Linked DNA regions of Caenorhabditis elegans. The protein of the gene in region 1 interacts with the protein of each later gene in a pairwise test. Each region holds a gene or a part of one and is shown on either strand. Other genes may lie near its edges.

Evidence for each region.
Region 2: the proteins of odr-4 (region 1) and F13H8.2 interact in a two-hybrid assay, tested with the Caenorhabditis elegans proteins (one large-scale study listed by BioGRID).

The regions. Positions count from the first base shown.
Region 1 is NC_003281.10:6,728,936-6,734,439, forward strand, and holds odr-4 (Odorant response abnormal protein 4), read left to right. Parts: upstream 1-1,864; 5' UTR 1,865-2,298; coding exon 2,299-2,383; intron 2,384-2,718; exon of another isoform or gene 2,719-2,813; intron 2,814-3,227; coding exon 3,228-3,424; intron 3,425-3,473; coding exon 3,474-3,704; intron 3,705-3,843; coding exon 3,844-4,195; intron 4,196-4,243; coding exon of another isoform or gene 4,244-4,249; coding exon 4,250-4,408; intron 4,409-4,461; coding exon 4,462-4,665; intron 4,666-4,711; coding exon 4,712-4,911; 3' UTR 4,912-5,001; downstream 5,002-5,504. Other genes in the region: Y102E9.5 (uncharacterized protein), read right to left, coding at 41-145, 1,138-1,235; Y102E9.3 (HMA domain-containing protein), read right to left, coding at 5,057-5,153, 5,311-5,504. UniProt on the Caenorhabditis elegans protein: Required, with oct-8, for the localization of a subset of 7 transmembrane domain odorant receptors, including odr-10, to the cilia of olfactory neurons AWA and AWC.
Region 2 is NC_003280.10:6,268,515-6,274,540, forward strand, and holds F13H8.2 (Small-subunit processome Utp12 domain-containing protein), read left to right. Parts: upstream 1-1,849; 5' UTR 1,850-1,857; coding exon 1,858-2,013; intron 2,014-2,056; coding exon 2,057-2,177; intron 2,178-2,222; coding exon 2,223-2,433; intron 2,434-2,481; coding exon 2,482-2,755; intron 2,756-2,799; coding exon 2,800-2,999; intron 3,000-3,044; coding exon 3,045-3,495; intron 3,496-3,541; coding exon 3,542-4,186; intron 4,187-4,238; coding exon 4,239-4,720; intron 4,721-4,766; coding exon 4,767-5,011; intron 5,012-5,208; coding exon 5,209-5,213; 3' UTR 5,214-5,493; downstream 5,494-6,026. Other genes in the region: bpl-1 (BPL/LPL catalytic domain-containing protein), read left to right, coding at 5,751-5,792.

The DNA.
Region 1 (5,504 bases):
AAGTTATTAGGAAAACTAGTCGAAACCGGGTACGACTTACCGAATATATTTAGATTCGCATCCACCTCCACAGTTATATGGATTACAATCTCCATCGATTGGTCCTTTACACCATTGAGAATTATATTCATATCGTTTTGGTTTGCTGAAATTCAATGTGAACAACTACAGAAAATCAAGGGTAGCACAGTAACCTTAACAATGAAAAATTTAATCGAATGGATTAAAAATTTTAGTTTATCTTTTTGGACCGCACAAAAACTATGGAATAAACTAATGAAAAAGTAAGCAAGAATGCAAGCTACAGTAATCTTGAAGCCGCATCAGAAACTCTTTTCTATAAATGAATTTTCCGCGGTGGAACCCAAATTTCCATTTCCAGATATCTTGAGTGAATTCAAAGATCAAATAGTGTGTATTTGTAACCGAACCTCAGAATGACATCTCAAACATTTTACACTTTTTTCTACAAACTTACACTCATCCATCTCCTCCTATCCCCATTTTTTTCTCATCCTACCCCCCGACCTCTCTGAAGCAGTTTCCTACCACCGTAAATGTAACATTTTATTCGAAAATGATCACCATCTGGTTAATGGCAAAAGACCGCCCGCAGAGCATCGTAGAGCAATGCAAAAGAAAAGAGCAAAAAGCTGAGATTTGCTGCTCATTACGAGCTCGTTGAGTTGAGGATTTGGGGCCTCCGTCGCAAAAGCTGAAGCTATTTTGCTCGAAAAATCATGACTGATTGTGTTAATGGGTAGTTTTACGGTGATAAAACAGTTTTTTGGATTAGTGAGGTACCTTATTACGAGTGTAACTACAGTAAACCTTTCCTATTTGCCCAGTGGAACAAGGAGAAATTACTTTTTTTTTCGGCTATTTCATGATTTTGCCTACAGAAATTGAAGAAGTTGGCACCTACGCCGTTACTTGATGCGAGACTATACCTTACAATATTTTCTAAACTTCTTGCCAGTAAAAATATAATTGTTTTTGGAAAACTCAACATCTAATAGTAAGTGAAAGTTCTATAGATAAGATCAGAAATGAAGTAAGTAAGAAAAATGGCTCATTTCAGACCTGCTAAATTGGAAGAAACCATCCATAAAACCCATCAATCAAATGAACCAGTACCTGGATAAGCTGTTTGATGAGATATGTGTTCCGACAGAGCTGATCTGTTCAAAGATGACCAACAAAGTGACAAGTAGTGATGCGATTAATAATGTCATGATGTAGTAGATCAATTGATACTGATAAGAAGGTGGAGAATTGAAATAAGAAGGGGAGGTGGTCCAGTGGAAGGGAGAAGCTCTTGACAACTGACACTGGTCAGAAGAAACTCACGGGAAGAGACGATGGGAAACATTGGAAACAATTTCTTCAGTTTTTTGTTTTTTTCTCCGCGTCTCGTTGATTCTTATCTTGAAGCTCCACCCCAATAGATGATTTGGGAAGAATGGTTGGGTTGGGAAAAAGCTTCTGAAAAATATTCCCGTCGAAGTCAGATGTTTAAAGATGGAAAGACACTTTTAAATGAAACTCAATCATTTTGGATACAATTTCTCAGCTGGCGGTCGAACTGGAAACCAAGCTGGAAACCTTGGGAAAACAACCCTGTTACTTAATATATAAATAAATGAAGCCTAGAAAAAAATCGGTCATCAATCCAATTATTTTCCAGGAACCAAATACCTAAATTGTTTAGGAATTGAGTAATAAAATAAATATTTCTGTGACGTCACTATCTTAATCTGCCATTTCACTAAAAAAGTCTAAAACTAATTTCAGGGTTTGGTGTTTCTATGCCCGAAAAGACTTCATATTCCACCTGCCAATTTTCGCCTTGAAAACTTGTGCTCCAACACTCACAAAGACTTTTCCTCTCTGCCTGGTTCTTCAGCCATTTTTTAAATGTTGTTTTAATTTTTATTTATCAAGACTTGACTGATTGACAGTTAAAAAATTATAGTTGATAAAACAGGAAAAAGGTTTGTTCTATCGTCATATCAAAATTGTAATAGTCGGACGTTCAGGGAATTTATTATGATTCAGTGAAGGGTCCTAGGGTAAAATACAAATATTTTAGACAACAAAATTGGTAGATGAACTATAAAACTTCGATTATTTTTTTTTTTGCAAAAGTTTGCACAGTTTTATAGAAGAAAGTATTCAATTGTTGTTCTTTTGTTCGTCTATGTTCCGATTCTCAAAACATTTCGAAAATTCAATTTCGAAAAAAAAACACTCTTTCTCGATTAGAAGAATCTCGTGGTTTCAGATTCAAACATTGAAATGACTAGAAATAGAAGAAAGTCAAAGACTACAGCTACATCTCATCCAGAGTTGCATTTGGAAAAGGTGGACCCCATGAAAACAGGTAATTGAATATTTTTTAAAATTAAATTTTCAATATTTTCTAAATATTTATCAGATAATCTGCTGTTTTCACGAAATTGAGCATTCACGGTTATTGTTGACTTAGCTTTTAGTTAACTTATAAGTTGTTCCAAAAACTTTTGGAAATTGCCAATATTGGGGTCAGAAAGTGCGCTCTGTCGAACTGTCCAACAAAACAATTTTTAAGCGATTTCTGTTTTTTTTCCGTCTTTTTCTTTGAGTTTTCTTCTTTTTTTTTGCTAATTTTCAGCTATTTTACAAATAGAAAATTGTATTTCTTATTTATATTCATAAAATACAACTTTTGATTCCTAGAAATAAGTAAGGGAGTAAAATAAAACGAAGAAAGTACGATGTTCCAATTAAATCCGACTCTTCGCAGCTGTCATTATTGAAATTTGTTTTTCAACGTAAGCGATCTCTCTTTTAACTTTCAGAAAATAAATTTAAACTCTGAAGTTTAGCAAAAACGCCTATATTTAACACGCGTGCCCACTTTACCCGTTAGATGCCTTCGCACAAAAACTAATTTCACGATTACATCTTATTTTCTCGCTCGCGGCGCTCCTCCGGCCGAGCTGGGGGTGTGCATGTTACCTGAGGAGACCGCCTTTTTCTCAATTTCTTGGGTATTCATCGTCATGGTAACCCTCTTTTTGTTTGCCACAGCAGCAGTTGGCTTATCATCCACCTCCTCTGTATACTTTTCAATCAACGTCTCCACATGTATTCTGCATAGCCTTCATACTATATTGACTCGCTAAAGTATTGTCCAAAAACTAACTATCATCTACAAAAAATGACATCAACACTTGCAATTCCAGTTACAGAATCCATGATTCTGTTTGACGTCCAACTCCAGGAATGGGTGACCAAGTCAGCGAAGAATCACGAATTTGTTTTATCCGATAAAGGAATTCCGGCGTCAGCCTACTTTTTGCTCGGATCATTCTGCTCGGATGGTGACATCCACGTGGCATATGCTTCCAAATGTCCGGTTCATAGCAGTGCATTGGAAGAGGTAAAGGATTTTACTATATCACAATTTTCATAATAGTAATTATTTTCAGAATGCTACAGAATCATCAAAGATGCTGGAAGACGAATGGATGTCAGATCACGCAGAACGTCTTCTCCGAATGCTTCCCGGTGGAATTCATGTGGTTGGAATTGCCTGGTTCTCAGATAAGAAGACTTTCTCAGATCGGAAATCACATATTCACAAGACATTGGGTCGTATTCAGAAAATGAATAATCAAATCACAACGGCTAATGTGGATGACTCGATTTCGGATAATATGGTAGGTATCTCAAAATTAGAAAAATTTGCAATGTATATTTTATTTTTCTGGGAAAACAATTATTGTAAAAACTAATAGTTCCTTTCAGATATTGCCAATCCTTTCTTTTCAAAAATCAGTAATATTCTTTCACTTTCAGATCACAGTGTTCTTCGAGACCCCATCCACCACCCCCATCGGTGCCATAATTGATGTGACCAATCGTGGCAACGATAGTGCCCAAAAAGTTCAATTTCAAAAACTTGAATGGATTTCTTTGGTGACAAACGCATCTGCTCGAATTGTGCACAATGTTCCAGTTGACACAGGACGCCCAACTGACTTCTACTCTGACTTGGTAGTCGCCACGAAAAACTTTGTGAATAATTTATTCCAATGTGAATTTACACTTCTTGATGGTGAGATCCGTGATGATAAGGAGCCACTGATCAAAGATATCAAGAAGAATAAAAAGACAACGATTGAGGCACAATTGTTCTTGAATCCTCTTTGTATGTTTTTTTCTGTTTTATTTGACTATGAGACCAATCGTCAAAAAGTTCTAGATAACCGAGAGCTCGGAGCTATCGATGATATTGCGTCCAACATGCACGAAGTTCTTTTTGACATTGAAGTTCGCGCAGCTGTTCCAATCAGATCAACAGTGAAGGACGCAATCCGAGCAATCAAGCATCATTTAGTCAGGAATCTGTTTGCAAGAGTTGGTTAGTTGAAAACAATTTTTTTGAGTTTTTAATGTTCAAAATATCTATTTCAGAACTTCACTACGAATCGATGGAAGTTGTTGAAGAGGAACGATCACCAAAAACTGGAATCACCGTCCATCAACTACCTCGTCCAGCTACTACAGTACTCTACACACATCCAGCAATTCTCATCAATGATTTCCTCTTTGAGGCTGATAATGTAGAAGATGCACAGAAGAATTTTGATGACATGATGGATTTACAGACAAGCATTGGTACAAAACATCTTTTATTCTTCGAATTTCGACTAACAAATTTCAGAACACGTGGATGAAGGCTGGGAACGCGCGCTGACACCAGAAGAGATGGAAGCTGTGCGAACACCGATTGAGGATCTTCATTTCGTTGACTTCGATGGATCAAGCGATTCATGGTGCACAACGAAAACCATACTGATTACTATTGCATTGATTATCGGACTCTTGGCATCCATTATTTATTTCACTGTAGCACATTCCTGAGCTAGTTTTCCCCGAGCATTATGACGTAATTTTGCATATTTTCCAAGTATTTATATATTTTTTCTCTGTGATAAAATACTTCATTTAAATAATCGAATAAGTTAAATCGCATAATATTAAGTATCGAGAATTCGCGTGAAAGATCTTATGGTTTAATATTCGTAGAGATCTCCCCATCACACAACATTGCGTATGCATTTAAAACCACTGGTGTACCTGCATTCAAGACTTCTTCCGCCAATCTGGAATGAAATTTGTGTATACAACAGATTTCGCACAAAACCGCATTTATCAGTATCCATTTGATATAGATACGATTTTCTTTATTATATACTATACATAGGAACTTTTTAAAACCTCCCATTGAAGTATGTTTTTTTTTTTGGAAAAATAACTTACTTCATAGCGGTCACGCATGAAACAGCAGTTAGTGTAACCTTGATTGATTTTTTATCGATTGGCTCTCCTGTGGCGTGCACATCTGGGTGGCTAGTCCTAATTGCGTTAAGGATTTCATCTTTAGTGGTCGTCGAAGTCTCGAGCTTATGAAAAGTAATTGTGACAGTACTTGGAACATCGGATTGAGGAGTGCT
Region 2 (6,026 bases), on another chromosome or scaffold:
TTCAATTAAAAAAAACATAAAAGTTCGGCAATGATAAAATCCTGGAGAGAATTTCTGGTTCTTTTCAGGCGCAGGTAACCGTCAGGCGATTTTTGGAGACCCGAAGAACTCGGGGGATGTCCAACTGGGGGGATTCCCAACTCGGGGGATTGGCCACGCCCACAGAACCGTGCCTTACAATACGCCCATTTCTGCAACCTCCGCACGGTTTTGAACGATGATTTTCTTCATTGTTTTTTGGGGGAGAAAATTCAATTTCGACTCTAAAAAGTTCAATTTGAATTGTTTTTCTTCGTTTTTTCAGCCATTTTCGCAAAAAGAAGTATTTTTCAACCGTGACTTGTTAATTCGCCCTCCTTAATTCGTGTATTCCTTTTGTTAATCTCTTTCCCTCTCATATTTTATTGATTTTTTTAATTTCTAGACTTCGTCGAATCGAGGGACCATCAAAATTGCACGGATGAAACAAGGATGTGCTTCTCCAGTCCACCCACGTTAGTATTATATTCTCAAATTGTAGAAAGTAGGAAAAAAATTGATTTAAGAACAAAAATTGAAATAGTTTAACAAAAAATTAATGAAATATCTTCGGATCGAACATATATGGACTTATAGAGGCATTGAAATCGTTGAAACAGCTATAATTTGCTGTCACTGCTCTTTTGAAGTCGGAATTTCTGCATAGTGGCGGGCGATCAGTTCTTCTTCGCAATAACCATGTTATTTTGAATGTTCTTTTTGAATTTAAGCCAAAAGCCTCTAAAAACTAAGCGAATCTGATAATAGACCAGATAAAATCTTTTTTCATTTATATATCAGCGATGTCTTTATGAAAGTTCTAATTTAAATTTTTCAGATCCGCCCGAGCTGCTCATCCTCCAAATTCTTCCGTTTTCATGACAAATTATTGTTTTTTTTGTTGAAATTATGCAATTCATTAAATGTAATATTATCCTTATCTGTAAATAATTATCATGATCAATAAAATCTCGCTCTTAATGTTCAATGAATAGCTTGCAAACCAATTTGTACAATAATTTCATTGAACAATTTCCGTCGGCTCTGAAAAACATTTCATGACAATTTTTCAGGTTATCTTATTCGAATTTTTTAAATAGAACTCGTTCTACGTTCTTCACTTCGTCTCCTCTCGTGTAAATTGTTCTTTCCTTGCAAATAATCGATTTTTACGCGTCCCCTTTCCGTGTAAATTGTTGTTTCACTGCGAAATATCGATTTTTTTGAAATATTTTACTTTTATTCCGCGAAAACGACTCAAAAACCGAAAAAAACAATTCAAATTGAACTTTTTAGAGTCGAAATTGATTTTTCTCCCCCAAAAAACAATGAAGAAAAATCATCATTCAAAACCGTGCGGAGGTTGCAGAAATGGGCGTATTGTAAGGCACGGTTCTGTGGGCGTGGCCAATCCCCCGAGTTGGGAATCCCCCCAGTTGGACATCCCCCGAGTTCTTCGGGTCTCGATTTTTGTAGATCCTCAAATTTAAACTTCCCTCCTTTTTCACAATCTGTGCATTTCCTCGTAGTCGTGTTTGCGGACAATGCGCGTCAATTGACATCTCAATCTTTTTTGATAATTATTTCTCGAGTTTTATAATTATGTTTTTTCCGTATTGCGTTTGCGTCTCTAGATAATAAATACATGTTAAATTTTGCACATCTTTTTTTCATTCGAAATTGTTCAATGGTCTATAATTATTTCCGAGTTCTGCTTTGCTATTTGCACACAACCCAATTTTCGAGTTGTTGGCTCTTTTTTCATCACCAAAAACATTGTCAATTATGTTTTTATAAACCTATTGGAATTGCCCAAAAATTATAATTGTTTGTTTTCAGATGGGATTGACCAAGGATTATTTGAAATATGAACATGCCGGCTCCTGTGGGTGCGTTGGATCTGCCAACGGCCAACTTGTTGCGATTGATGGACAAACCGTTGCTGTATCGGCAAATGAATATTTAAATTTCTACAACATGAGAACTGCAGAAAAGGTTTATTAAAATACAAATCACATTAATTTGTAAATATTTTCAGGTTAACGAAATTATTGAATCTACAAAGCCAATTTCGTGTGTTCGGCAATGCGAGAACAAACCGCTTCTTGCAATTGGATATGCCGATGGTTCAGTGAAGTTGTTCAATCAAGAAAATGAAGGTTTTAATTTGATTATTCAATCAAAATCACAACAATTGCATTCAGATTCTGAACCAATTATGTTCTCTGGTCACAAGAAAGCTGTGAACTGCATCGAGTTTAGCAGTGATGGCCTTCTGTTTGCGACGGGTGGAAAAGATGGAGTCATTGTTCTGTGGGACATTCTTGCCGAACGTGGAATGTTTCGTTTACACGGCCACAAGGAATCAGTCACACAAATGAAATTTGTCCGCGGTGATAGATTCATAATTTCCACGTATGTTTCAACTTAATTTTATTGAAGTAATGTGCTTGTTTCTCTCAGATCGAAAGACAGTTTGATCAAGTTTTGGAGTATTGCCTCGCAGTCATGCTTTTATACAGTGATGGACAGCCGAAACGAAATTTATTCAATGAGCTTGCATCGTGATGAAACAGTACTTGTAGCTGCAACTGCTGAATTAGAATTGCTTGTTTTCGAACTCAATTGGAAAAATGGCGCTATCTTTGAACAAGAAGTAAAAAGTGAAGAACCTTCTGCAAAGAAAGCAACAAACGATGATGAAAAGGAAGATGATGTTCTTGCTAATATGGCCAATGTAATAGTTTTCTAAAAAAATAAGTTATTATAATCAATGTTCAGAGATATATCACGACAAAGCTGCGCGGAAGAGTGATCCGTCAGAGCAAAGGAAGAGCTCTGCAATTGGTCGCAACTCATGATGATCGATTCTTAGTATGTGTTGGTGCTGATAAAGTGGCCGACGTCTATAGAGTCTTCTCCGAAACCGAATCTGCAAAAAGGCTTACCAAAAAGTTAAAAAGTGCTAAACGAAAAGCGACGTAAGTTGTCAATAAATAACTGTTTCATCAACTACATTTTCTCAGATCTGACACAACAACAGTTAACGAGGATGATGTGGCAAAAGATGTGACAATTCTTGTTACTCGCATTGGAGAGATGGTTTTACCTCATAAAATCAAGTGGATTGATGTTGTGAGATCAGTCAAAACAAACGAAAACACTTTAATTTATAAGTGGTATGCACTTCTCACAGACAACACAGTTCATTGGGTCAAAATGAGTATTGAAACTACGTCAAATAGTGTTGAATGTGATAGTGTTGGTAATCTAGACAAACTCGGTCACAGAGAAGATGTACGTGCTTTATGTGTATCTTCTTCTTCAAGTCTTCTTGCTTCTGGAGGTGGAAATGAAGTAATTGTATGGAGTACACACTCATTGCGGTCGTCATTAACATTGACTGACAACGATATCAAAGACATTGTCGCAGTTAATTTTGTTCCTGGTGATAACTACATTTTAACTGGTGGAAAGGTATTGTGTTGTATAATATTTTTTGAAGTTAACTTTGTCATTGCAGAACGGAGAAATCGGCGTGTTCGAGTTAAGTAGTGCCGAGCTGGTTGAAACAAGAAAAGCACACACTGGAGCGATTTGGACTATTCAAAATTCACCTGACAATGAAGGATTTATCACGGCTTCTGCAGATAAGACGGTTCGATTTTGGTCATTTGTGCTGGTGACAGAAGGATCAAGAAAGAGAATTTCCATCAAAGAACAAAAAGTTCTCGAACTTCCCGATGAAGCATTGGCTGCAAGTTTCTCTGCGGATGGAAAATTTCTTGTTGTGGCTCTTCTGAATAACACATGTTCAGTGTATTTTGTTAATACGCTTAAATTCTTTGTTTCTCTATACGGACATTCACTGCCTGTCACATGTGTCGATATTGCACCTTCCAGTAAACTTTGTGTCACTGGATCCGTCGATAAATCAGTCAAAGTATGGGGATTGGATTTCGGTGATTGTCATAAATCATTCCATGCACACGATGATGCAGTAACTTCGGTTTTATTCTGTCCTGGAGAAGAACAACTCTTCTGGAGCGCCGGAAAAGATGGAAAAATTAAACAATGGGATGCAGTGAAATTTATTATGGTTCAAGTTCTTGATCGACACACTTTGGATATTCGTTGTTTGGCTCAGTTTACTAATGGATCTGTTATGGTGAGTATTATAAAGTGAAAAATACCTGTTAATTCAAAATATTGATTTTCAGTTCTCTGCTTCTCATGACAAGTCAATCCGTTGCTGGGAGAAAACCGATGAAATTTTAATTGTCGAGGAACGAGAGGAAGTTGAAAGAGAAGAAGAATACGAGAAAAAACTTATTGAAGAGGAAGACGTTGTTGCTGGTGAAAATGCTGACAATGAAGCTGGTGTGGCTAGCAGCAAGACAAGTTCCAGTGTTGTATCCGCTGAAAATATCATTCAAGCAGTTGACATTGCTAGAAACGAGAAGGTTCAACGCCAAGAAGATCCAGGGCATGAACCACATCCTCTTATTGGAGCGTATAACAGTAAATCATTGGATCATTTCATCGTTGATGTCGTCGCCAAATGTAGAGCCAGCGACCTTGATAGAACACTGCTTCTAGTACCTCTCTCCTACGTTGCGGACATCCTTCTGGCTATTTCATCTTGCACACAACAACAGTATAAAGCTGAATTGTGCACCCATGTTGCTGTATATCTAACAAGGTTTGTCTGAAAACTTTAAAAATGACTGCAACCACTTTTTTTGTAGAATCCACCTCAGTCACATCACTGCCTCGTCCGATTATGTCCCAATCTTCGAACAAATGAAATCGAAAATGTCCGAGGGTGTGGAAAAATTGAGAAATGTCACTGGAATCAATTTGGCAGCGCTTCGACTGTTAGCTACAGAGCTAGAAGATCGTGAGCAGGTTAAAAAGTTTGCTCAAATTGAGCTTGGAGTGGAAGATCCAAAAAAGAAGCGAAAGGGGAGGAAAGCGGTGTTAAAGACGCTAGGTATGTTTCAATATTTTTGAAATTTTAATTTTAAATTGCATAATTCAAATTTTTATATTCTACAAAAATATTATCATATTCAAACAATATTACATACGACACCTGTGTAACGCGAGAGTGCGCCGCCAAATTTGAGAAGCTTTTGTCTGTCATCCCTCATTCTCTAGTAAAACAAACAAATGTCTTTTATTTTTCAGCATAATCCTCCTGCATCTTCTCCACGACCCACCAACTCGAGTTGTTCTCCACAACTACGACGCCTTCAAATCTATATCTTTCTTTTCCTTTTTGTTTCCTTCGTTAGAGTTGTCTCGTTTTTTCACTCTTTCAATTTATTCTTGTTATTGTTACATTCTATATTCTTTTTTTGTTTCTGTTACGTTCGTTTTTTTGTTTCCCACCTCGTTTCGTTGTTTTCCCTTCTTTTTTTGTTTTTTATCCGCATTCAATTTGTTCGCTCAATAAAAACCACTATCGAGAGTTCACTCTTTTCTTATGTGGCTTAAAAGCGGGAGCAATGCGAAATAGGGAGAAGCTCGACTTCTCTTTCATTTTTTCGTTCTCTCCAACAACTAGCATACTGCGTCTCTTTGCTCTCTCATCCGCGACGTCGTCTAGCTTCAAAATGGGAGCCGGTCTTCGACCAATTGACACTCTTTTTCAACATTTTGATTCGGTTTGACACTTTCATTGCAGATTTGCAATATTCAGTATCAAATTACTATCAGTTGAACAAAAAATGATACTTTTCGTTTGGTCACTAGTTTCATCGGCCATTGAGGTTTGTTTTTAGATTTTTTAATAATTATTAATTTTGAAAACCGATGTGGAAAATTTTAAAACCTAAAAAATTGTGAAGAAAAAATGCCGTATACTACAGTAGCTGGAGGAAATTTTGTTGCAAATACATAATCGTAGCGAGACCCCCGCAGTGAACAGTATATGCCTTTCACATACTACTGTACATGTAGGCGTTCGAAAAAATCGATTCTCGGCAGTTTTTTTTTCTAATTTC